3 linked regions of the Lepisosteus oculatus genome follow. The protein of the gene in region 2 binds, or shares a complex with, the protein of the main gene of each other region. Links are inferred from orthologs where the notes say so. Each region holds a gene or a part of one and is shown on either strand. Other genes may lie near its edges.

What was found. Proteins that work in one complex are often made in the same cells at the same time.
Region 1: stx18 (region 2) and bet1l share a complex: the UniProt entries of both Homo sapiens proteins name them as parts of the SNARE complex. The link is inferred for Lepisosteus oculatus from reciprocal best matches to the Homo sapiens genes STX18 and BET1L.
Region 3: stx18 (region 2) and vti1b share a complex: the UniProt entries of both Homo sapiens proteins name them as parts of the SNARE complex. The link is inferred for Lepisosteus oculatus from reciprocal best matches to the Homo sapiens genes STX18 and VTI1B.

Annotation. Positions count from the first base shown.
Region 1 is NC_090716.1:11,901,617-11,908,571, reverse strand, and holds the start of bet1l (BET1-like protein), read right to left. Parts: upstream 3,033-6,955; 5' UTR 2,969-3,032; coding exon 2,950-2,968; intron 2,273-2,949; coding exon 2,181-2,272; intron 1,787-2,180; coding exon 1,730-1,786; intron 919-1,729; coding exon 751-918; 3' UTR 1-750. Other genes in the region: ric8a (synembryn-A), read left to right, coding at 5,825-5,914. UniProt on the Homo sapiens protein: Vesicle SNARE required for targeting and fusion of retrograde transport vesicles with the Golgi complex. Required for the integrity of the Golgi complex.
Region 2 is NC_090696.1:43,625,105-43,632,473, reverse strand, and holds the start of stx18 (syntaxin-18), read right to left. Parts: upstream 3,069-7,369; 5' UTR 2,977-3,068; coding exon 2,824-2,976; intron 1-2,823. UniProt on the Homo sapiens protein: Syntaxin that may be involved in targeting and fusion of Golgi-derived retrograde transport vesicles with the ER.
Region 3 is NC_090703.1:26,309,716-26,317,575, reverse strand, and holds the start of vti1b (vesicle transport through interaction with t-SNAREs homolog 1B), read right to left. Parts: upstream 3,033-7,860; 5' UTR 2,948-3,032; intron 2,428-2,947; exon of another isoform or gene 2,118-2,427; 5' UTR 2,073-2,117; coding exon 1,976-2,072; intron 307-1,975; coding exon 248-306; intron 1-247. Other genes in the region: rdh12 (retinol dehydrogenase 12), read left to right, coding at 7,839-7,860. UniProt on the Homo sapiens protein: V-SNARE that mediates vesicle transport pathways through interactions with t-SNAREs on the target membrane. These interactions are proposed to mediate aspects of the specificity of vesicle trafficking and to promote fusion of the lipid bilayers.

The sequences.
Region 1 (6,955 bases), on a different chromosome or scaffold from region 2:
AGTGTATTCTGTAGTATAATAATAACCTTGTGCCAATGCTGAAATATTACAAGGTCCTAGGTGTAGCTGCAAAATACTGAAAAATTAAAGACTTCTGTTTTTTTCTACAGCACACCTTCATTCACCTGCCACATTACAGCAGCTTTAAATTGTGTACTCCCCCTGTCTTAAATATTTTAAAGACAAACCGATCCGCCTCCCTCTTTCACCACTCTAAAAACAACTAGTAGTTCTTCCCATTCCTGATCCGTTTATCATCTAGGATAACTTCATAGGTCATAGGAGTATGTTTTCTGCTGCTCTCTAACCTTCGTTTTCATTTCTTATAATCTTAAAATTACTCCTAGGTACGAGAATATTCCAGAGAAGCAGAAACGCACATGAGGAACACCCACTCCCCACAAACCAAACCACCAAGAAGCATTCTGCAATCAGGATACCAGCAAACCTTCTCATTCTCTTTCACAGGATGAAATTTCACATTTAAGAATGCACAGAGAAATGTTGCTATAATCAGGGTTAAAACCAGAAACCTTTGTTTCGATGTACAGATTATATTGCGTTCTGTGAATTTCAGTTTTACTGGGAAGAAACGGCGGTTTTTCAGTCTTTTGGGGGTGCTTCACCACAACGATCAGAGCTTAATGAGGCCTGTATCATTAGGAAATATTTTCAATTTCTCATATAATTGAGAAACTCATTGCAAACCCCTTGTCAATTAAGGAACAAAACTTTTTCCCTTTGTCCACTTTACGTCTGTGTCCTAGAGACTAGGTAGTAAAGTATAAAAAAAACTAAGACCAGTCCAATTGAGACATAGCACAAAATCTTCCGGTTGTCCCTTCCAGAGCGAACCATTGTAGAAAACCTCTTCACACTTCCTGTCAAGAGCCCTGTGGTGCTCAAAAAGTTTGAGTCCTTGAGAAAACAAAAAGAACGTGTAAATACAGCACAAGTCCAATTAAAAACAGGTTTTAGCTTTTGTAGGAATACATGTTAAGGGTCATGTGATTCACAAAACTCTAAAGTTCTAGGTAGTTAGGAACAAGTGGAATTAATATTTTATTGCTTGTCTGCAAAGAAGATGATTCTGTGTAACAAAATACACCTCAATATATAACACACCCCTGTATACCCACAAGTGGGAGAGAACATGGAGTTTGTAGGCATAAGAATTGACACGACACAAGTGGAATATTTCAGACAGACAAACCAAAATAACTGTTACTAAGACACCTGCAATAGTTGCAAACCAGAGCATGGCTTTAAAACTCTTAACTTTCATGACTCCAGCTCCTATTATTCCTATTATTATAACAGAACTATCAATAGAGTTGTGGGCCCACATAGCTGTTTCCATAATGTTTAACAATCCCCCAAAAATGTATGTAATGTAAAAATCCCCCCAAAAATGTTACTTATCATCAAAGTCATCAGTTTTTTTTTCTGGTGGAGTATATTAAGAGTTTTGCATCATTCAGCTGCAAGTCATTCTTGACCTTAAAGTCAATCCTGTTCCTTTGTTTCCCTTTAGGCTATCGCAGCTACTTTTTCAGTCCTGTCCAGTCACCAGAACAACCAAATAAGGTGCTGCCACAGAATCCTGAAGTTGTAGATGAACAACAGTACTATCACAAACTTTATAATGAACAAATTGCATTCCCAGTCACATTAGCATAATAATGTTTCAAATTCATATCTTATCTTAGGCCCTGCAAATTGCTCTTACCATGCCATCAAGATAGGAATTTTGGTCCTCAGCTTCTTTATCTATTTCAAAGGCCAGCTGTTAAATAAAAGCATAGAAACACTTATTAAGGAGTGCGCAACAGCAGTATCTCAGAGTCCTGTAGTAAATCTTTTGTTTCTGTATGATACGACTGGTAAACTGCATTCTTAGTTCTGATAGTAAAAATGTTGTGAAACAAAGTGAAGCCCAGGTTTGTACAAACACATGAGCAGTGTATTGGAATTCAATACTATTAGAGAATAGTAGGCTTGTCTCTGTATCGGTCTTCTGTAACGGGCCGTTTACAATCTACTTTTGCAAATTAAAACAATGAGATCATAAATCTATTACCAAGTTACTGATAAATGTTTTGGAAAATAAAAAAACGCTTTAAAATCATTTTAAAAACACACATATGCCACAAGGTGTAGTAAGAGGTTTAAATACATACTGATTTTAGTCTGGAGACTTTAGTGGCCAGATTGTCTGCCAAGAGCTTATTCTCAACATCCAGCATCTCATCCACAGCACCAGAGCCATGTCCTTACCACGAGGAAAAACAGCAAGAGAGAAGAGCATCACAAAGTAAGTGAGCACCCGTTTCAAAGCCTGTCTCAAGGCAGCACGAACACAGTTCACAGTGATAATATAAGCATGTTTGAAGACGATCAGACACACTAGAAACAAATTATATAACGCGGAAAAGGAAAACCATTTGAATTAATTATGACCAAGTGTGGGTGCCAGACGAAGCCTTAAAGAAAGCAGAGCTCTGCCCACCCTTGATTACTCCGGTTGATGCCACAATTTAATGATCAGAAACCTGTTTGATACAAACTACTCTGTGTGATCAGCGTTCCTTGAGTAATTTTAAGTAGATTAAACGAAGTAAAAAACCGTCTGAATAATGTTTAGGACGCTTACAGCATGCACATCATCAGCTTAAATGCTGTCTTTATTTTTATGACTCTACTTCGATTCAGCGATGTCTCGTTTGTAACAACTATTATACTCGTTACATTGATCAATTATTAGCTTGATGAAGCATCATAATTATATTTATTTCACTTGTTCTAGTCCAATTTACAACACCTAGTATCCACAACTTTATATACGTTTAACACACTTGTCAAGAGAAACTTTCAGACTATACAACCACACAAAAACACTATTAAACCAATAAAATATTATTTAGAATTGACTACGTGTCCACTTCCTACCTCTATTCCAGTCAGCCATCTTTGTTGACTTCCTTCTTCTGGGAAGAGGGTTAAAGGTAAAGTAACGGATACGTCACATCCTGTTACATTAATAGGGTAATGTTTGAAAGTAAAAATGTTATTAATGTCTCGTCCATATATAATGCTGATTTTATTAGAGTTGCCCTTTGGAATAAATAGATTGGAACATACATTGGCCTTGTCTTTCAATAAAAAAATAAGTGCACTATAAAATAATCCTAAAATATACGCAACTAATCCGATTGTTTCGTTTCTAAATTAAAAAAAATACATCATATTTGTTATTTTCGCCAATCAGGAAGAAAGAAATATCTTTTTGCAAATTACTGTGACAACAAAACAGAGTAAAATTATAAAATCAATTATAATTTAAATTCATTTTGAAATTAAGCAGAACTGCCTAATTTACAATAATTTTGATATATTTGTAACTATTAATAGTTAGAACAAACGCCAGAAGACACATCATCCTGCAGCTCACAGCTCACAGCTGGCAGCCCACTAAAGCTCAGCAGGGTTAATCCTGGTCAGTACTGGGATGGGAGACCTCCTGGGAAGCTATGGCTGCTGCTGGAAGTGGTGTTAGTGGGACCAGTGGGGGGTGCCCACCCTGTGGTCTGTGTGGGTCCTAATACTGTAGTGGGTGCTGTCCTTCGGATGAGACATTAAACCAAGGTCCTGACTCTCAGCGCTCATTAAAGATCCCTGGGCATTTCTCGATAAGAGTAGGGAGTTATTTTAAAAAGATATAATAACCAAATATAATAAAAGTTTTTTTTCAGTGTTACAACAGCATAAGAACAGATACAGATTTAAATATCAGAAGCTTTTAGGAAATGAAACAGAAAGGAGTGATATATTTCTTATTTTAGAGGGGTGGTCATCAGGATAGAAATCAACAACATTCCTCAGGCTGAGCAAAGGCCAAGATCTGTATTGAATACAATTAGCATAGAAGAGGTGGTGGAGTCGCAGGGATTAGAAGCCCCTAAAATTAACAGATAGGCCAGCCAGGGCCTAATGACATCCTACTAATTGGTTTTAAGGAAAGGAAAGATGTAACTATTAACCCTGTAGTGCCAGATTAATTATGTCATCCCTTAGTATCATCCCTTGAGTATACATCCCTTATTTATATCTCTTTTTTATCCTTATGACCAATTTTCATTTCAAGGCTAGAATCTGAGACTCAATCTTTTATGAGGACCATTATTAAAAACCTTTCTGAAAATCTAAATATATCATGTCATATGTCACATCCATAGCTGCTGTTATTTGTTCAAACTGTTCTAACAAGTCAAGCAAGACAGGCTTAACTAACTGCATGGTGACACCCTGGTTAGCATCGTTGTCTTGGACTGCTGGAGCGCTGTGCTCAGTTTTGGACCTGTGAATTAAATACAGATCATTTATGATACATACTTACTGTAGGTGTGTACATCATTTATATGTGGGGAAGGCAGAGAGTGAGTTAGAAATTATGATTAAATGTCTAGAATGTAAATAAAGTGATGTTTGGGCAAAACAGTAAAACACTTTAGTTTTTGTTTTTGTAGAATATTGTGAACATTTTTTTTTTTATCAGCACGTTATAAGAACATCATTACTGCTCTTGAATCATTCCAGAGAATGGTGTCCAGATAAATTCCCATACATCTGTGAGTGTCATATACTGATAGGCAAAATATTTTTAGTCTTGAGCAGGGAATACTACAAGGGGAATGCAAAATCCTTAAAGGCAATCCAATTGACTTCATCAGATTCAACATTGAAACATGAACCAGAGAACATAAATTAAATTTAAATAAGCAGAATCCTACACATTGTATAAACCCACAAGTTTAATGCTACCAGTAAAGGATCACACTTTCCGCATATACTTTCCATTTTCTACACTGTATTGACCAAAAAGAAGGAAAGAAGGACACATAACAACTGAGAAAATATACAGACCTCTGGGTTAGTCCAATTGTTAATTTTGTTAAGGAGAGGAGTAAAATATGACCTGTTAAGTATCATATGTTTAGTACCACGTACTGATTGGAAAATCAGTTTTTTTTAAATAAAAAAAGTATTTTAAAAAGTCTCTACAAGTCCTTTGATTCAACACTTAACTATCATACACATAGAAAATCTTTAGGAATTTTTCCCACCTGAGAATTGATATTGAAATATTTTTGTACAAGTCGTAAGAAGGTTAAGTGACTGGCAACTTTGTCTTTAGTATAGTTTTAGCTTAGTATCGTGATTAGTTTCACTCTTTGTTTTGTTGCAATAGAAGTGTTATTCCTTATTCCAAGGGGGATAATTAAATGAGTCGTGTTGTTGAATTCAAATGTAAAAGCTCATCAAATGTTTGTTAATAAGGCTTGTGAATCGCAGGCTCACTTTTCCAAGCACTTTTCTTTTATATAAGACGATTTGTGGACGGTATGTTCACCAGTTAATTGTAAGAATAACACCAGGGAGAAAGAGAAGAGATACACAAGAAAAAGAGCAAAAAAGAGTGCGGTTTTGCAAACCCTAAATGTACCCTTTTTTTAAAACAATGTGAATATGTCTATCTTAACACCTCGCGTTGTATCAATACATCCCCAGCATATTGTAGCAGTATTACACCTAGAGACTTGCACCTGATCGTGTAGAAACAAAAACGTAAAACTACATTTCCCAGAAATCCTTACGCACGCTTACAATCCTGCGTTAATCTTGTTCCAGGACTTTCGAGTTTCAGGGATAAGAGCTGGTAGAGTAAGGTAACGCAGTGAGACACATCAGAATATTACCCAAAGCAAGGCGTGTATGTGGTTGTCAGTTTGACTTGAACAACAATAACTGCGTCTGTAATACAGCAATGAAAATGGAATTCAATGCCATCATAGAAACGATGCAAACAGGAGACCAAGATGCCGCATTGAAGGCACTGCAGGCTTACAATAAGGAGGTATAATTTAGTATTTTTCATTTTTATACGTATTTGGTTAACATCTTGTATATTTATATATACGATTCGTATCCGTTAACCGTGTTTCCATGTGTGGGCTTCGAAATGCAGGGTATACAGTATCTGTGATTTGTTAGTGTGTTTAGCCGACTACCTTCTATTTTTACAGAAATGCATGTTTTCTGTCATTACCATCCTGACATGATGTGAACATCCTAAGTGTAACATATTTAATAGCTTCGATGTGATCTGGATTAGGGAGCCCTGGTTGTCAGCTTGAATGCATTTAATTTTATTGAATCAAACTGCCATTCACAATGGTACAGTTTGCATTTTTAAATTTTAAATGAAAATAATTAGCCATAACAACAGTGTCGCCCTAAAACGCAGGCGTATATTCTTGGTAGTAACTTTTACATTTATTTCTCAGCATTATTTAACGATGATAATTTTACATAATGGTACATCCACTCGCTGGAATACAGTTTGCCCAGGCTATTTTGTCATTGATACCAATGCTTTTGGATAGTGCAATGCAGGCAGAAATGTAACATTATTTTTTATATCAATAATCACCATCACAGCCTTGAAGAACAAAACGTATATGTAATACTTAAAATTATCTAGATCTTTGTTGGTTTTGAGATACAGGAAGACTGGGGCAATGGTCTTGGGCTGAGAGTGCAAGATACAGCTCTGTGTTAATAGTAGGTGTGTAAAGCACCTTCACCATAGTTGCCATTCTGATAGTGTAGCAAACTATTGATTTATTCTGTGCAGCTGTTATTTCAAGTGTAGTAGTAAATATCTTAATTGAAGTCATTATTATTTTAATATGTAGCTCTGGAACCCAAGCTTCACTCCAAGTTCCTTCTAGCAAGCTGAATAATACATCAGCAGGCAACTTTTTACTATTATTTTTACTTAATGTTTTTTGTGAACTGTTTTTACTTATCAGAGTAGGTACTCCATACAATTGCTTTGATGCAAGTACTGTATATAACGGTCTCTGAAGTTGTGAAATCTGGTGTGGAAATGAAG
Region 2 (7,369 bases):
TAGGTATAATGTAATACAAACAGCCCCTCACCAATCTGCTGAAATGGTATTTCATAAAATATGATTTTTTAATACTATATTGAAACCACTATATATAGTATTTTACAGCCGATTTCAAACAGTCTGCATTCTTTAAGAAACAGGTATGAAAATATTTATTCAGTACCTCATGTTTTGTATTATTCAAGATGAAGATAAAAACACATTAATGTCCTTTGTTTTCATAACTATACATTTTGAAATATTTAGAGAGGCAAAATAAAAAAATCTAAGAACTTTTTAACTGTTAAAGAGAAGGGAGAAATTGTGATTCACGGCAATAAAATCTTTGGTTTACATTACAATTATTTTCTTAAATATTTATTTTTAAACTTTGCCTATAACCTAATGTTCATACTGAAATGCATACAAGGTTTCATAAACTTTATGTAGATTTCCACTATTCTAAAAACATTGGTGCCACCGGTTCAGCTGTTTTGAAGACTGAAATGCTTCAACAGAACACAGATGGAAGAAAGAAGCACTTAATGAATAAGGCCAAATTTACCGTACAGAATGTCAGCTGACGTCTAGAAATTGCTAGAATAAACATTGATTGATATGCTACATGGGCAAAACACTAAGAACTGACGATTAAACAATTTCAATTTTACAAGGGAGACAGATACCAGCAGCTGAATCAACCTCCTTGCATAGGATTTCTAGGCATTTCACATTCAGAATGCAACACGGCAATGCCCTGCTCTTGATGGCATTTAATTAATGTGTTTTCATCTCTTTTATTCATTGATTGAATGTTAAATCATGAATTCTATGTTACCAGTGGCTTTCTATTGTGTAGTTTATTGATGTTGGATCTTCCTGCAATTTTCCATTTCTCTTCCGTTAAAGATCTCTTTAGATTTTGGCTCTTCACAATTCCAATGTCTTAGGCATTCTCTAACTGGTCGTATCTGCTAAAGCTGATGTTTTAACAGTGCAACTATACAACAATTGAATACTCCTTGTACAATTGTCCCATTGAACAGTTAGAGAGCTCAAGAGGCTCTTTCTGTCAAAGGTTTTAGGCACAGAAAATACGGTTCCAATAAAAAAATAAATTACACTCAGATGTTGCATCAAGGTGAAGTCACTATAACTTGACAGTGCAGGAATATGGCACTAAAAGGAAAAGAAAAAGGTTTTTTTTTTCTCTTGGGGAAATACGACTTCACACAACAAAAGAACCCCACTTGTCTTTAACTTTACTCTAAATGAAATTTCACTTGGGTGGTATGCAATGGTGAAGAACAGAAGAATTTACAATTTCCTCTTTTTGACAAACAAGGACTGAACGAATAAAGCTTTGATAAGGATATTTGGTTATTTCATAGTTCAAATAGTATCTTTTAAAATTAACAAGGACTACATCCAGAATTGTAAAAAAAAAAAAGTAAAAGCATTTACTTAACTTTTAAACGAACCAAATAGGATAAAATAAACATGTTAAATGCCCTTCAGTAAATGTCTATGGGGAAAAGAGTAACGCAGAATAAGTGAATGGTAAATTCTCAAATGAGAGAAAAAAAATAACCTAATCCTATTAAACATGATTCTGGAATAAAAGGACAGATTCTTAACATGATTCGACTCATATTATGCCTCATGCATCATGACAGAAACTACCTGGGCCTCTGATCAGTAACACTGCTCATTTATAATTTACCACCACTTTAAGGTTTACGTCATATTTGTATTATTAAAAAAAAACAATCAAATTAAGTTGTTGGCTAAATCTTCATAATGCTAAATAAGAGTCTGCACAGTCAAATTATTTCTTTTCTGCTTTTGTGACATTAGATGTTCAGATACATTTCGGGTAAATGTAGTGTGGTGAGAAGGTCTTTATGAACCAGGAATCTTTTGTAACAGAAAAAGGTCATATTCCAGCAAAGGATGCAGTAGAATGCTATCAGCAAGTCAAATATGAAAATTCAATTTTTATAGAATAAAATACTGAAGGTAATTATTAAGGTTTAATAACACCTGAGCCTCTGAGAAATGACTGGTATTTGACCATAGGTATCTGCATGCCAGGCTCCATTTTAAAGTGTACCTTAGTTCAAGTGTACCCTCACACTACACATCCTCTGTCACCACACTAAGACTGCACTGTATTTTTCTGTTCCAGAGCAAAGAATGCCATCTACCGGGTCCGTCACTACTTGCAGTCCTCCACTGTTTACAATGTGTAAGTACTGCTGCAGTACCACAGAGTAAAGTACCAGCAACTTCAGTTACGATTGATGATACATCAGACGGTTTCACATTAGGTAAAGAAACAGTTTCAGAAAGACTATATATTCATAGTTACATTTTCCTTGATGTGTATCTTAACCTCGACATGTGCATCTAGTATAAAAATCCCACGCTTTCTTTCATTAAAAAAAAACATCCTGAGCATATCGCTATTGAAACTGACGCCATGTCGGCTCAATATGATGACAACATGACAAACAGACTTTGCATTTATACATTTCTGAAGTTAAGGCGAGTAGAAATTCTGGACACCAAAATTAATGGAAAATGGAGATAATTTATTTATGTAACTTCTTATTGCATTATGATATAGCACTTTTAGAATGTATTTATTTGAGATTTATTAAGAAAGTCGACAGTTTTGTGAAGAAAATGTGTAGGTGCTACATTCCGATTTAAAACACCTTACATATTCGGTCAATGAAAAAATAACTGTAATCTGCATAACTAAACTCTCTGTAAAACAGACGGTTTATAAATGTTTGTATTCCCAGAATCTTATTTCTGGACTGTAATTACACTCACCACTTCCTTAGCTTTTGTGGAGAAGTCACTCTTAAGTCTGGTTTTCTTCAGGATGTCATCTTTTGTACTGTCGAATCCAACCCCAATGGCTTTATTTCGGGTTTTCACAGTCTTTACGCTCGCTTTGAACAATAACGTTATATCAACAGCCATTTCTAAACCATGCCTTTCTCACAAACGTTGAAAATTAAAGCAAACCCCCTGTATCTGCTGTCAACAAAGACACGTCACCGTCTTTAACGTCATATTTCTGCGACAGACCAATACACGTGGTCTTTCTCCCTTCCACATAACGTTTGGCGATTGCAGGATTGGTCCATATTATTCTTTTTTTTTTGTTCTTGATATTATAGAGTCTGAAAGCATTAAGCATATTTTAGACTAACTTAAAATTATTTATTAAAACACACTTGAGGAGGTTTAAGAGTGTGTAATGCAGTCCGTAGTGTTCATATTCAAAATAAATGTTTAACAGTTTACTCTTTAAATCAATTATGTAGTGTGAAGTCTCATAAAATTATGAGAAGATTGTAATATATACGTTTACTCTGAAATGAAAATATTTGAAGACATTTTTATACATATGCAGAATGTATTGTGTATTGGATGAACTTAATTTAATCACAACATGTTTTACATACATCATATAATAAGAGCAGTGCTCATACAAGAAAAAAACATTTTTGGATTTTGATGTATGTATAGAAATGTAGCTTCCTTATAAGAACGACTGACTGCAGTCACAAGAGTGTCACAACTTCAATCGGTAAGCAAAGCAGAGAATGTTGAAGCTGTCAGCATCTGCTATTGACACACCACAGGGAAGGCCAAGAATATCAGCATTAGTCAGACTTCTAGATTTTATGAGAGGGATTCATTGTCCAGTTTGCTTTGAAATGCTTGCCCTCCTTAATTTACAATGTGAAGTGGTTATGTGTCATAAATAACTTTGGAAAATAGGTAGTCTGCCTATTCTAATACTAGGTTTTACATGGGAAAACATAGTCGTAAGGTTTGCTTGCACATAGTTATGCACTACAATAAAATGTTACTTGACAAAGGAAATGCCCATAGCATGATTCACAAAGGCTTGTGAAGCAGAACTCAAATATTTGCTAGCTTGGATCACAAAGGTAATGGTAAACTGCGTGAACCACACACAAAAATGACACCTTTTTGCATAAAAAGACCATTGACATCCTGAAATGAATATGTAGATAGTAAGAGAAATGTAATAGTTCATTGCTTTTGTATAAAAACAAGCTTTACAAATCACCAACATTCTAATTTATTTGTATTAAACTGTATAGTAAACTAATATATTTGTTATGGTACTGAAGCTAACTAATAATATAGTCAGTTCAGAAAATATATTTGACAACTAACCAGTTAACATGGAGAAATCATTTAAACTAAGAGTTCTGTCAGCAAGGAGTGATTGTTGCTACTTACCTTAAACTTATTGATTTTACATTTTATTTGGTGTATGGCTTTTGCATTTAATAACATTTTTTGGTCAAAGCCAAGAATAGTTGCAAGCCTTCAGGGCATGGCAAAATACCATGTACAAACAAGTTCTTAATCTTAAGTGTTTTATGAATTGCAGTGGTGTAATGAGAGGTGGACAGGTAAAGAGAATATATAAAACTCCATGAACTTGTATTAGGGACATTCTCCCCCTTCATTCTTCATGAATACAACATAATCACCTCTGGAGTCTGTGTATCATTCTGTTATGATGCTATGACCTCTATGCAGCTCTGTAGACAGTGTAGTTAAACAATACTGCTTTAATATATTTAGGAACAAGTAATAGGTTTATTCCATGCTGAAAAAAAGAAGAAAGAGAACACAACGTTTCGGCCATGGAGCCTTCTTCACACCTGAAGAAGGCTCCACGGCCGAAACGTTGTGTTCTCTTTCTTCTTTTTTTCAGCATGGAATAAACCTATTACTTGTTCCTTTGCAGCCTACGCATGCTGACGCAGCTACCCACCTTTAATATATTTATATTTATATTATATTTAATATAAATATATACACTATAATCTGATTTAAACATGCATATTCAAATGGTATGTTAGAAACTATTAATGATGTTTTTCATTTTTACTGAAGGAATACATTAATCTGCCATTAATAAATTCCACACACACACAAAGTTATCTTTAGTTGTTCACTTACTTTCATTACCCTATTGTCCTATTAATATTTTCCTTAATTTATCGTTTGCAAAGCTATACAATACATGGTTAGACAAAATGTAGTCAAACGTGACACAAAATTTTGTAAGAACAAAACAAAGGCTACAGACAAGACAAGGCCGTTCTGCTCATCTGTGTTATTTAGATGATAGATAATTAATTGATCAATTGTGGATCCATCTGTTTCTAGAACCCAGGGTATCTGCTTTTACAACATGACTGGATAATATGTACCAAATTCCCACAAATCTTTGTGTGAAAAGTACGTCCTGTTTTCACTTTTAAATGCACTCTGCTCCCCCACAGAAAGTGCATTAGGATGAGAAGTGGTCATAATAAAGGCCCTTGTGATACTGCAGTAATTTTCTTAATCCAAAAACATTGCATAAACCATGTCATTTTCTCTGTATATATTACTGTTGTTATAGCAAAATCGTTTAGCAAGACATACCTTTTCTATATCATTGTTTGCTATATTATAAAACCCTACTGTTCTACAGATATGATCTGCCAGGTAAGTTCTAATATCATTTCCATAAGATCACCTGTAATAAGACCTATTGGATTATAAATAGTAGGTTCTGATAATCACTATTTTTATGGATGTGTGCAACATTATCCATTTTCCGGTCAGTGGGTATTAATCCTCTCCTAAATGACTGTGGGAAAAGTTTTGCCAACAGTCGAGGAATAACATCTATTATTTTCTTGAGAGCAATTGGTAGAAAATAATCATGCCTTGAAATTGACTTAATCTTAAGTGTTTCTAATATCTGCTCCAGTCACACCCAATACCTGACGGCAACACGAACAACAAAAGAGTGACAAGTCAGTTATTTTAATTTAACTGTGTGTTGATAAACAGTTCATTACATTCAGTTTATCATTCAAAGCTTCTGAATCTAAAGGCTGTTCAACTAAACTTTATTTTTCATACTGAATATGGAATTCACAACTACAGGTTTAATAGCTGAGTGAAGAGACACACCAAGAATGAAGGAAAAAATAAATTGCCCGACTGTTAATCCTGCTGGTCTGCTTTCACTTGAAAGTGTCTCTTTTTCAACATTATTTTCTGTTATTGAGAAATAACAAATGGTATTGTTGAAAAACTAAATAAAAGATTACTGTTTAACCACAAGACAAATTATTTTACAAGCTCATAGCAAAGGTTTACTTTGGAATAATCTGGCTGTTTTCATTCAAGTAATTCATAATGTGTGACTTTCTTCATTGTCATTTTTATTATAGTCTTTACAGATGTTTTCTAATGATCATTTACTTTTAGATAGTTAACTAAGTCAATTATTACTAAAAATGTTGTGCTCCATTTCAGACCAAATCCGGTTTGGTGCTTCAGGAGCAGTTAAACATCTGTCTACCTTTCTAGTAGCAATAGAAAGGAAATCACATATATCCTTTTACAATATATAGCCTCTGTTTTAATTACTCTTTCTGTTTATTGCAGGAAGTGGATAACAGGTTACTAATCTACATAAATATTTACGTGTTCACACGTTTACTTATTTTTACATATGTCCAAACATACATATTTAAAATTACTATTTGACTAAAACCAAATTCTGCATTTGCCAACGTAAATAAAGAAATAATGTCCTGTCTAGACTTATGTAGTAATTTGTACGTAATATTTCTTACAAAACCATTTATTTGAAGTCCCTTGGAACTGTACCTAAACTTAAAAAGTGGCATTAATGTTTAGCATAAAAAGCCTGTTATTTGCTGTGTGGTTTTCTCATTTCCTTTGTTAATGCTGCATTATAAACCCTGCTCTGTATTGCATAACTCTGTGATTCCATCTCCACTTTCGCAGCTTCAGCACCTAAGCCTTACAATTTCTGTGTTTTCTCCTGTGTTGAATATAAAAGTAGCTTTCATTAACTGACAAGTTACAGTGCCCAAGTACCAGACAGAAATTTCTGATGACGATGGCATTTGACAGCCATTGACCTCAAGCAAACCCCCCCAATTACATCTTCAGACAGCTCATGCCGCCAGCTTGTAAAAAAAAGAGTCCAGTGAAACTTTCTGAGGCCAATCAGGTGTGCACTGTGGAATTATCCTTTTTTCTTACACCAGTTCCAACAAAAGCATTGCTTTACTTTGATTTTAGTAGAAGCCGTCACTAAAACCAATTTCTGTGTTATTAATAAACATTTTTAGCATAGAAATGAATCTGAACACAAGCACAGTCTAGAGTATTAAAATTAAAATGCTTAAAATGCCTTTGTAAATGGAAAACAACATAATTCTTCCTTTTCATTTTTAAGGTTTGGAACAGTATTTTATTTATTTTTGTAATTCATTTATAATATAATATA
Region 3 (7,860 bases), on a different chromosome or scaffold from region 2:
GGCTAAATTCAAACATGGAATTAGCAAAGGACTGGTCCAGCACATTTGATTTATTTGGTTACAGGGGAAGTCAGATACAAGCCAAATGTAAAAGCAGCTCTTCAACTGTTCAATTAGTTGATATGGTGACTGAGTAAATTATAGAACTTATGGATCTAGCTGACAATCAAGATCTCCCCGGACAGCCTTAAAACCCTGTAGAGCACAAACATTTAAGAATGAAAATCCCACCTTATCCTTTCCTTACCATTTCCTCTGCCTCTCCTACTTTTTCATCAAAAACTCTCACATGCCGCTTCCTTTCCTCTGAAAGAAGAAAGGTTTTAGAGTTGTGCTCATAGCAAAAAGGTTCAAGTTGCATGCACTGGCATACCTATATTTAAAAAATGCTTGCTCGCTAGAACATCTCTTGTGACCCCAGCTAGGGATTTAGTGCTGTATTCACTACCTCACCATCCCTTACGTATAAAATATTAAATAAGTATAATATAACACATTACTGCTGGTTCCAAAGTGTCCTGTTCTTCCCTAAGTAACATTTCTTTCATATTCTAAAGCAAGTTGTAGAACTTTAAGCAGGCACCAAAGAGGCAGTAAAGAGGTTTTATGTTAAAACTTGTATAGATAAGCACTGAAAAGGAAAGTTATGTTGTACACAAGATTTACAAAAAGCATTTGATTCAAAATACTATTTTCAGAAGTTAAATCCCATTCATCCATTATCTTACTGCTTCATCCAATACAGGGCTGCTGGGGAGCTTAAGCCAATTTTACCAGGTGCCAATTAATCTACTAGTGAGTTTTTGGACTGCGGGAGGAAACTGGAGCTCCCACAGATAACAGACACGAACACGAAGAGAACATACAAACTCCACACAGATAGCACACGAGGGCCATTGCACTGCAAGACAATTTCCTAAATGTTACACCTATTACAAGTAATGTTTTAAAAACGTTCAAAAGAAAGAACAAAATGTGGACCACATATTCTTTGAGGTTCTTGTGTTTTATATGAAATTGGTGACAGTGGTTTAAAACAGTGAAGTTGGTTGCTATAGATGGGTTATCCTGAACAATTTAAAATTCCTCTGTACATTTTCTGTTTCTCATCAGAGGTCTGGCCTAAACCGCCTGTTCCACCCATGACACTTTTATGTCCAAATAAGTCATATACTGCATTATCAGCAAAGAATGCAACCTTATGTGAGTTTTAAGTATCAATCCAGATGAAGGCAGCACCATCAGGAGCAAGTCCTTACTACCAAACTTGTCTCTCGGAATGAACGGAACCAAAATGGGAATGAAATTAAAATTCTGATATCATTACAATTTCATGAGGTTTTCCGAGTTCAGGGCTTCTCTAAAAGAAGAAAACGTCAAAGAATTTTTGTTCCAGGACGTTTTGGATAAATGTTTTATAATTTGTAACGTTTGCACTGCACTTTATAAGTCTCTTGTTTTGTATGTTGCCGTTCTACAAACTGTACGAAAGTTTTGCATTTTATTGCATTTATTAGAATTGTGCATTTCCTACGTTGCTTTGTCGATCTTTATTTTTTTAATATTGAATATAAATTTACTTGAATATTTAGAGCGAATTCTGCGCTCTACTTGCACAGACACATTCGTAAGCCATTCTGTGCCTCTTCAGTGATAACAGAATCAAGGTAACAGCTCAGTTATTCCTAGTACCTTCCTGGAGCCTGTATTCATCTCACGACACCGACTGTCAGCAGCAATAATGATAATATAGACTTCTGACATTTATATTTCACTAAGGAGCTAGAAATCCCAAACGTTGAATTGAGGTAACGTTTTAAAATGTCTCGTTAATATATTGTGTTAGGTTTTCCATCGGAATATTTATCGAATGTGAAGTATTTCCAATTAATATTATATATATTATAATTCCAATGAATTTCTGGTATTTTATTGATTGAAATTCCAGTTCGACTTTCGAAGCCTTTCTACTTACCTCCATAACATCGGGACACTCGGTCTGGCATCACTTTTAGCTCTTCGAAAAGGGATTTATAAAACTCATGCAACTTTTCAAACTCTTCGGAAGACATTTCAGTATTTGTGTTTTGTTTCAAGGAACCAACCGCGTAATTCACCTACAAGTCAAATATAAGTACGTGAAAACAAAAGATTATCGGGACTCCTGGTAATGGTCCTTGCATTTTAGACCACTTTTCGTTGCCTGTTTTGAAGGGATTAACATTATAAGAAGAATAGGTACAATAATAACGCCATATATGCTACGTTATAAAACATGACATTATCTTAACTATTTTTTTAATTACAAGACTTGAAGTTTCCCTCTCAAATGTGTATTTTATAAAGGCTTCTACCAAGGAAAACTAAAGAGCAAAGCTTTATGGACAATGTAGTACTCGGAATGTGTGGGAATGAGCTTCACATGATTAGTGACCCTTTAAATTGTTTTATCTGCAAATATTACAGTATGCTTTCTAAAAAAAAATAAGTTTTTTGTTGTTTTGAGTGGGTATCATATTAATTGATTTATCTAAATGACATATCTAAATGATCTTTTAGAACAGTAAACGTTTCAACAAACCTATAGTGTCCCAAAAATCTCAGTAATCGTCCTCTAGAAAGCCGCCTTTCAAGACAAATTAAAAGATTCGTATACAAGTATATTTACGTATACTTTTATTTTAAATGGAACATCTTTAAGATTCTCTCGGGTAGTTACAGTTTTGTGCACCCAAAACTATGCCAGCTATCAACCTTGTAGACTTTAAACTTAAAAGCAAGTAGTAGAATAACTCGAGTAGAATAACTCTTTGTATGCTACCGCAAAGACTACAGCACTTAAGAGTTAATATTTTTCAAAGAAACGTAGCCTGATACTATTAGACGAGGTTTAAAGCAGAGCACATATAGTGTAAATATGTAACGTTTATCAGAAATATAACTTTACCTGTTGAGGATTTTTTTCCCAGACATTTTTTAGAACTTTTATTTTGAAAGCTTATGAGACTAGGAAGCTAGTTATTTTAAGCGACGCGAATGATCCGGAAGTGTATGTAAATAGCCGAATTTCAATCAAAATAAAAGCCTTCAGCTACCACAGGAGTATAGTATGAGGAGTATAGCAACATTAAGCTGAAACACCTGCTTTGTTATTTCTTCGTGGGTAACTGTAATTCCTTGAACATTCTGCCAAAATTTGAGAGGGTCCTTTTTAATTTTAAATCGTATCCACTAATCTCCAAGTTTGACAAATCTAAGATTATTAGAAGTTTTTATTAATTTTACAGCACCTTTCTTCCATTTATAGTACTGTAAAAATTGTCATTGTTATATTCTTTTCATAGACATGTTTTTTTCCTGTCCAATGAAAAAGGTTTTAAGATGCAAGCTTTTAAAGGAGCTGTATCTGAAATTTCTAATTAAATCAAATCATTTATTATATTTTAATTCAGTTTTTTAGACTATAATCAAGGGCAAAAACATTTTTTTTGCACCATCAAAAGTGGTGAAACATACAATTTTAAGACAGTCAGACAATAGCAAATCACCCTTTTTTTGTCAGATAAGTGGCTCTGTCAAAACTGCTGGGGTTTATAGAGCACCTCCCATTCCCAGACTGGGACCTCTTCAAAAATACCTCAGATCTATTCTACAGACCCACGGCTAATAGAAAATAACTGTGTTTTTTTCAGATAAGTGTTTTTGCTAATGTTACTGGGGTTTATAGGACCGCTTGCTGTTCCCAGACTGGGACTGTGCAGTGATGGACAGGGAAAAGTGTAAACAATAACCGTGATCCCAACCAAAGTAATGCTGACACTGAAGATCATAGTATTGTGACCAAAACCATAGCTGTGACACGGAGTAACCATACAATATAAAAAGGTTCTTAGACATAGAGTGGATGACTGGCACTGTTTTGAAAAGGCAAAAACTGTAATGCATCTGTAAATCATCCAACAGGTAAAAAACACAAAGGTGGAGTGTGACGCTTGCAATGAGTGGATTAATTTTGTTTGTATAGGTATGAGACAGAATGACAAAGATATTGATTCTGTAGGGTTTCTGTGTTGCTCAGAAAATTGTGATGTTAAAGCCACGGCATTAAAAACTGGGTTCAGTTTCTTGAACAAATGTGAAGCAATCAGCAGTGTAATACATAATAAGTTAGATGTAACCAAAAAAAAGTAAAATTGATGTATCACGTCAGCATTGGTGCTCAAACAGCGCTGGATTATCTCATTTGGGGGGCTTATTGTGGTAAGACAGACAATAAACAGATGGTTTCCCAGGATAGGGAGGTCGAGCTAAATGGTGACACAGAAGTGGAAAGTAGTATTGCATGTAGTGCATCCGTCACCCAAGGAAATTGTTCCTCATGTAATTCCCTCAAAAAGTAAAATGCACAGTATGTGCAGAAGTGATGTTGATGGTATGAATCTACATGGTAGGTGTTATGAGAAACCCCGGAAATTAAAACACGAGCACAGTGGTAATTTTCCAAAACCAGCTAAAATAACCAAGGAAATTTTGCAGAGTCGGCATGTATATCTTCAGTGTCATAATTAATTCAGTGGGATTAGAAGATCTCTCTGCTCATATTTATGATACCTGCATTTTCATGGGTAGTAGATAAAATAACACACTTGTCACACAGTCTATTTCCAATCTCAGAAGTCTAGTGTCACAACTGAACACTAGCAGTGTCCCCACTGTTACAGGTGCTGAGGACTCAGATGTTGATTTTGGATGCATAGAGAATGTGAATTCTCCATTTATTCACGATTTAAAAAAATGTACATTAAGGCAATGACAGATATAAACAGACAGGAGAACAAAGAGCCCAATGACTATTTTGGTTCAAAACTTGTTTTGGAAAAAAAAAAATCCTGTCGTCAATCTCAATTTGGACAGACATACTAATGGGTAGATTTCAGCAAGATGGATGGACTACATCAATTTCTGAGGTAAAGCTCAAAATGAATGTGTGGAAAGGTTAGGAACTCTTTACAAAGGAAATTAAAGGGAATTTTGTGATAAGATAAGACTGAATTTTTCTAGAATAAGTAAGTCTCCTGCCCTTGTGGAAGAGGAGGAATGGAACAAGAAAATTCCACAACATCTCAGGCATTCATTCCAAAAACCCCCTATCAAGACAATCAGACATTTTTAGTCTAAATGATACATGCAAAATTTATGGTCATCCAAATGATTACAACAAGCCACCTATCATTACATTCTCAAAAACAAGTGCTGGTTAAATTTTGTCATGTAGCGTGTTAGTAACATGAATGCAATGCAGACCAAAACAAATATTAAATTATTTTCTAAAGGTTTTAAGATTATGCCTGGCTGTTTACTGAATTTGGTCAAACCTTCCATCAACAACCTTAGCAGCTACTTTTCAAAGCCAGTGTTAGATGAGATATGTGAAGTAATATCTTCAGTAGATTTCAAGAGAGAAATTTACCCAGCCAATTTAATAATTCCCCTTATGTCCTGGTTTGTTTGTGGCCAAGTAAACAGTATTACTTCCCATGTAGACTTTTGCTAGAACTGTAGTTTCCTGCATACCGAAAGACGTGAAGTCAGTCATTTTTTGCTTGCACAGATAGCTGAGTTTTTCATGAGTTAATCGACCCTCATACACAAGTCTTTGCTAGAGAACATAGTCACACAGAATTGCTCAAAGTGTTAGCAAACAGTGGTCTGGAAGCAACAATTTAGCTCTTGTCCACAAACTATTGTGATTCAGATTCCCAGAGCACATTCCACTGCGAACTGCAGTTGGAATTGGAAAGTGTTGGTAAAGTGCAATGTACAATTAAATCAACAATATGCCATGAAGGAAAGTCTATAAACAGAGGTGGACATCATTGGGCGGTACTTTTGTGCATTGGACAGAAATTTAGAATTAAAGCAAATGATCAATACATCACAACACAGCCAACACATAGCATAGACCAAACTAATTATTGTGTTTGTTTTCTAGAAATAAGGGAGGCATCAGACAGAGACATATATTGGTCAAACCATGTACTCACTGTTGAGAATGCCAATACTCATGAAACACAAAAAAACCTGGAGCCACTGAACAGTTACATATCAACTCTACTGCATAGTAAAGAGGCACTGAAAGAGTCTTTGAATAGCTTGCAATCAGTGACAAAGAAACAGACAGCCTTACCTGTAACAATACACAAGACTTTCAAGACCCTTCTGGGATCTAAAGCTATTCAGATTTCCAAAAATACGTGTAGATGCCGAACCAGGTAAAATTGACATAGAAGTTTCGTGAGAAATTCTCTAATATTAGATTCTATCATCCAAAATTGAACCCCGGAGGGTTTCTTGCAGTTCAATGAGGTTTTTCCTCCCCCCTGTGCTGTGGAGAATTTATGTGTCCAAAGGATAATAGGCCAGACAGCTGAAGCAGCATTTGAATGCTGTCTGAGTAGTTCTACACTCAAAATAATAAAAGCTGATGTAATTTAAGAGAAAATCTGTAGTGTTTTAATACAGAACACTTACAAGGCATCTTTACTTCCCAGTCTTTCGGAACGCATGGGGGGAATCAATTAACAACTAGTACTTGGGCAACATGTGAGCCACCGTTTCCACATTACTGGATCAAATCAAAAAGGCTCCATACCATGTCTGTGGCAGAGCCACCTTCCCAGGAAAGATACATCACCATTGAAGGTCTATTCAATATTTTGGCTGTTTCAATACACTCTAATAAATTTAATAAAGCAGAATACCAAAGTTTGATAATATGTCTTACATTTACACTCCAAACAATTATCCCATAGACAGTAAGGAAAAAAGTGTGAAATTGACACTTTATTTCAAACCAGAAAGGATAATCCACTGGTGAAGTGTTAACAATGCCCACATTGTGATATCATGCCCTTCGAGACAAATCTAGTATCGGCCACTAAAAGACCCCTATAAACCCCAGCAACATTGGCAAAGGACGCTCATCTGGCAAAACCATTAGCTGAGTACTATAGTACTATTAGCTGAGGATCTGTAGAACAGATCTAAGTCACTTTTGGAGAGGAACAAATTTTTATTTGGTCGGGAGGGGAATGAGACCACTCCCTGTCCATCACTGCACGGTTCCAGTCTGGGAACAGCAAGTGGTCTTCTAAACCCCAGCAACTTTAGCAAAGACACATATAATGACAAAACCTCGGTTATGTACTATTAGCTGAGGGTCTGTAGAGTAGATTTGAGGTATTTTTGGAGAGTGCCCATCGCTGCACTGTCCCAATCTGGGAATTGGAGGTGCTCTATAAACCCCAGCAGTTTTGACAGAGGTGCTTATCTGAGAAAACCATGGTGATTTTCTATTAGCTGAGGGTCTGTAGAATAGATTGGAACTACTTTTGGAGAGGCACAGTTTTTTTTGTCAGGAATTATACTTTTCCATGTCTAGCAATGCACAGCTCTGTGTCAATTTGCAAGGAGAAAGTGTTATAAAAACACCAATAAGATTGCAAGAGAGCAAAAAAATTAATGAAGAACGGCAATTCCTTATTACCTGTGGGTCTATTTATCACATTCCACCTAGTTTTGAGGATGAACAAATTGTTGTTGTGACTATAAATGTGACTTTAACTGGCCCAGGATTATTTTTTATGAGGCAGGTTTTATGGGACTTTTATTTTGAAAGGTGCTGACAAGCCAGCGCCGCTTAATGTCGCTAAATTCACGCTACTCAATCAAAGTAAAAAGTCCTTCAGCTATTACAGTAACGTACAGCTGAGCAAAGAGCAAGAGTAGCGAGCGTGAAGAGAAGAAGAGATACATGTAGGTGAAGGGGGAAGGTTACAATGTTGACATTAATTGCAATTC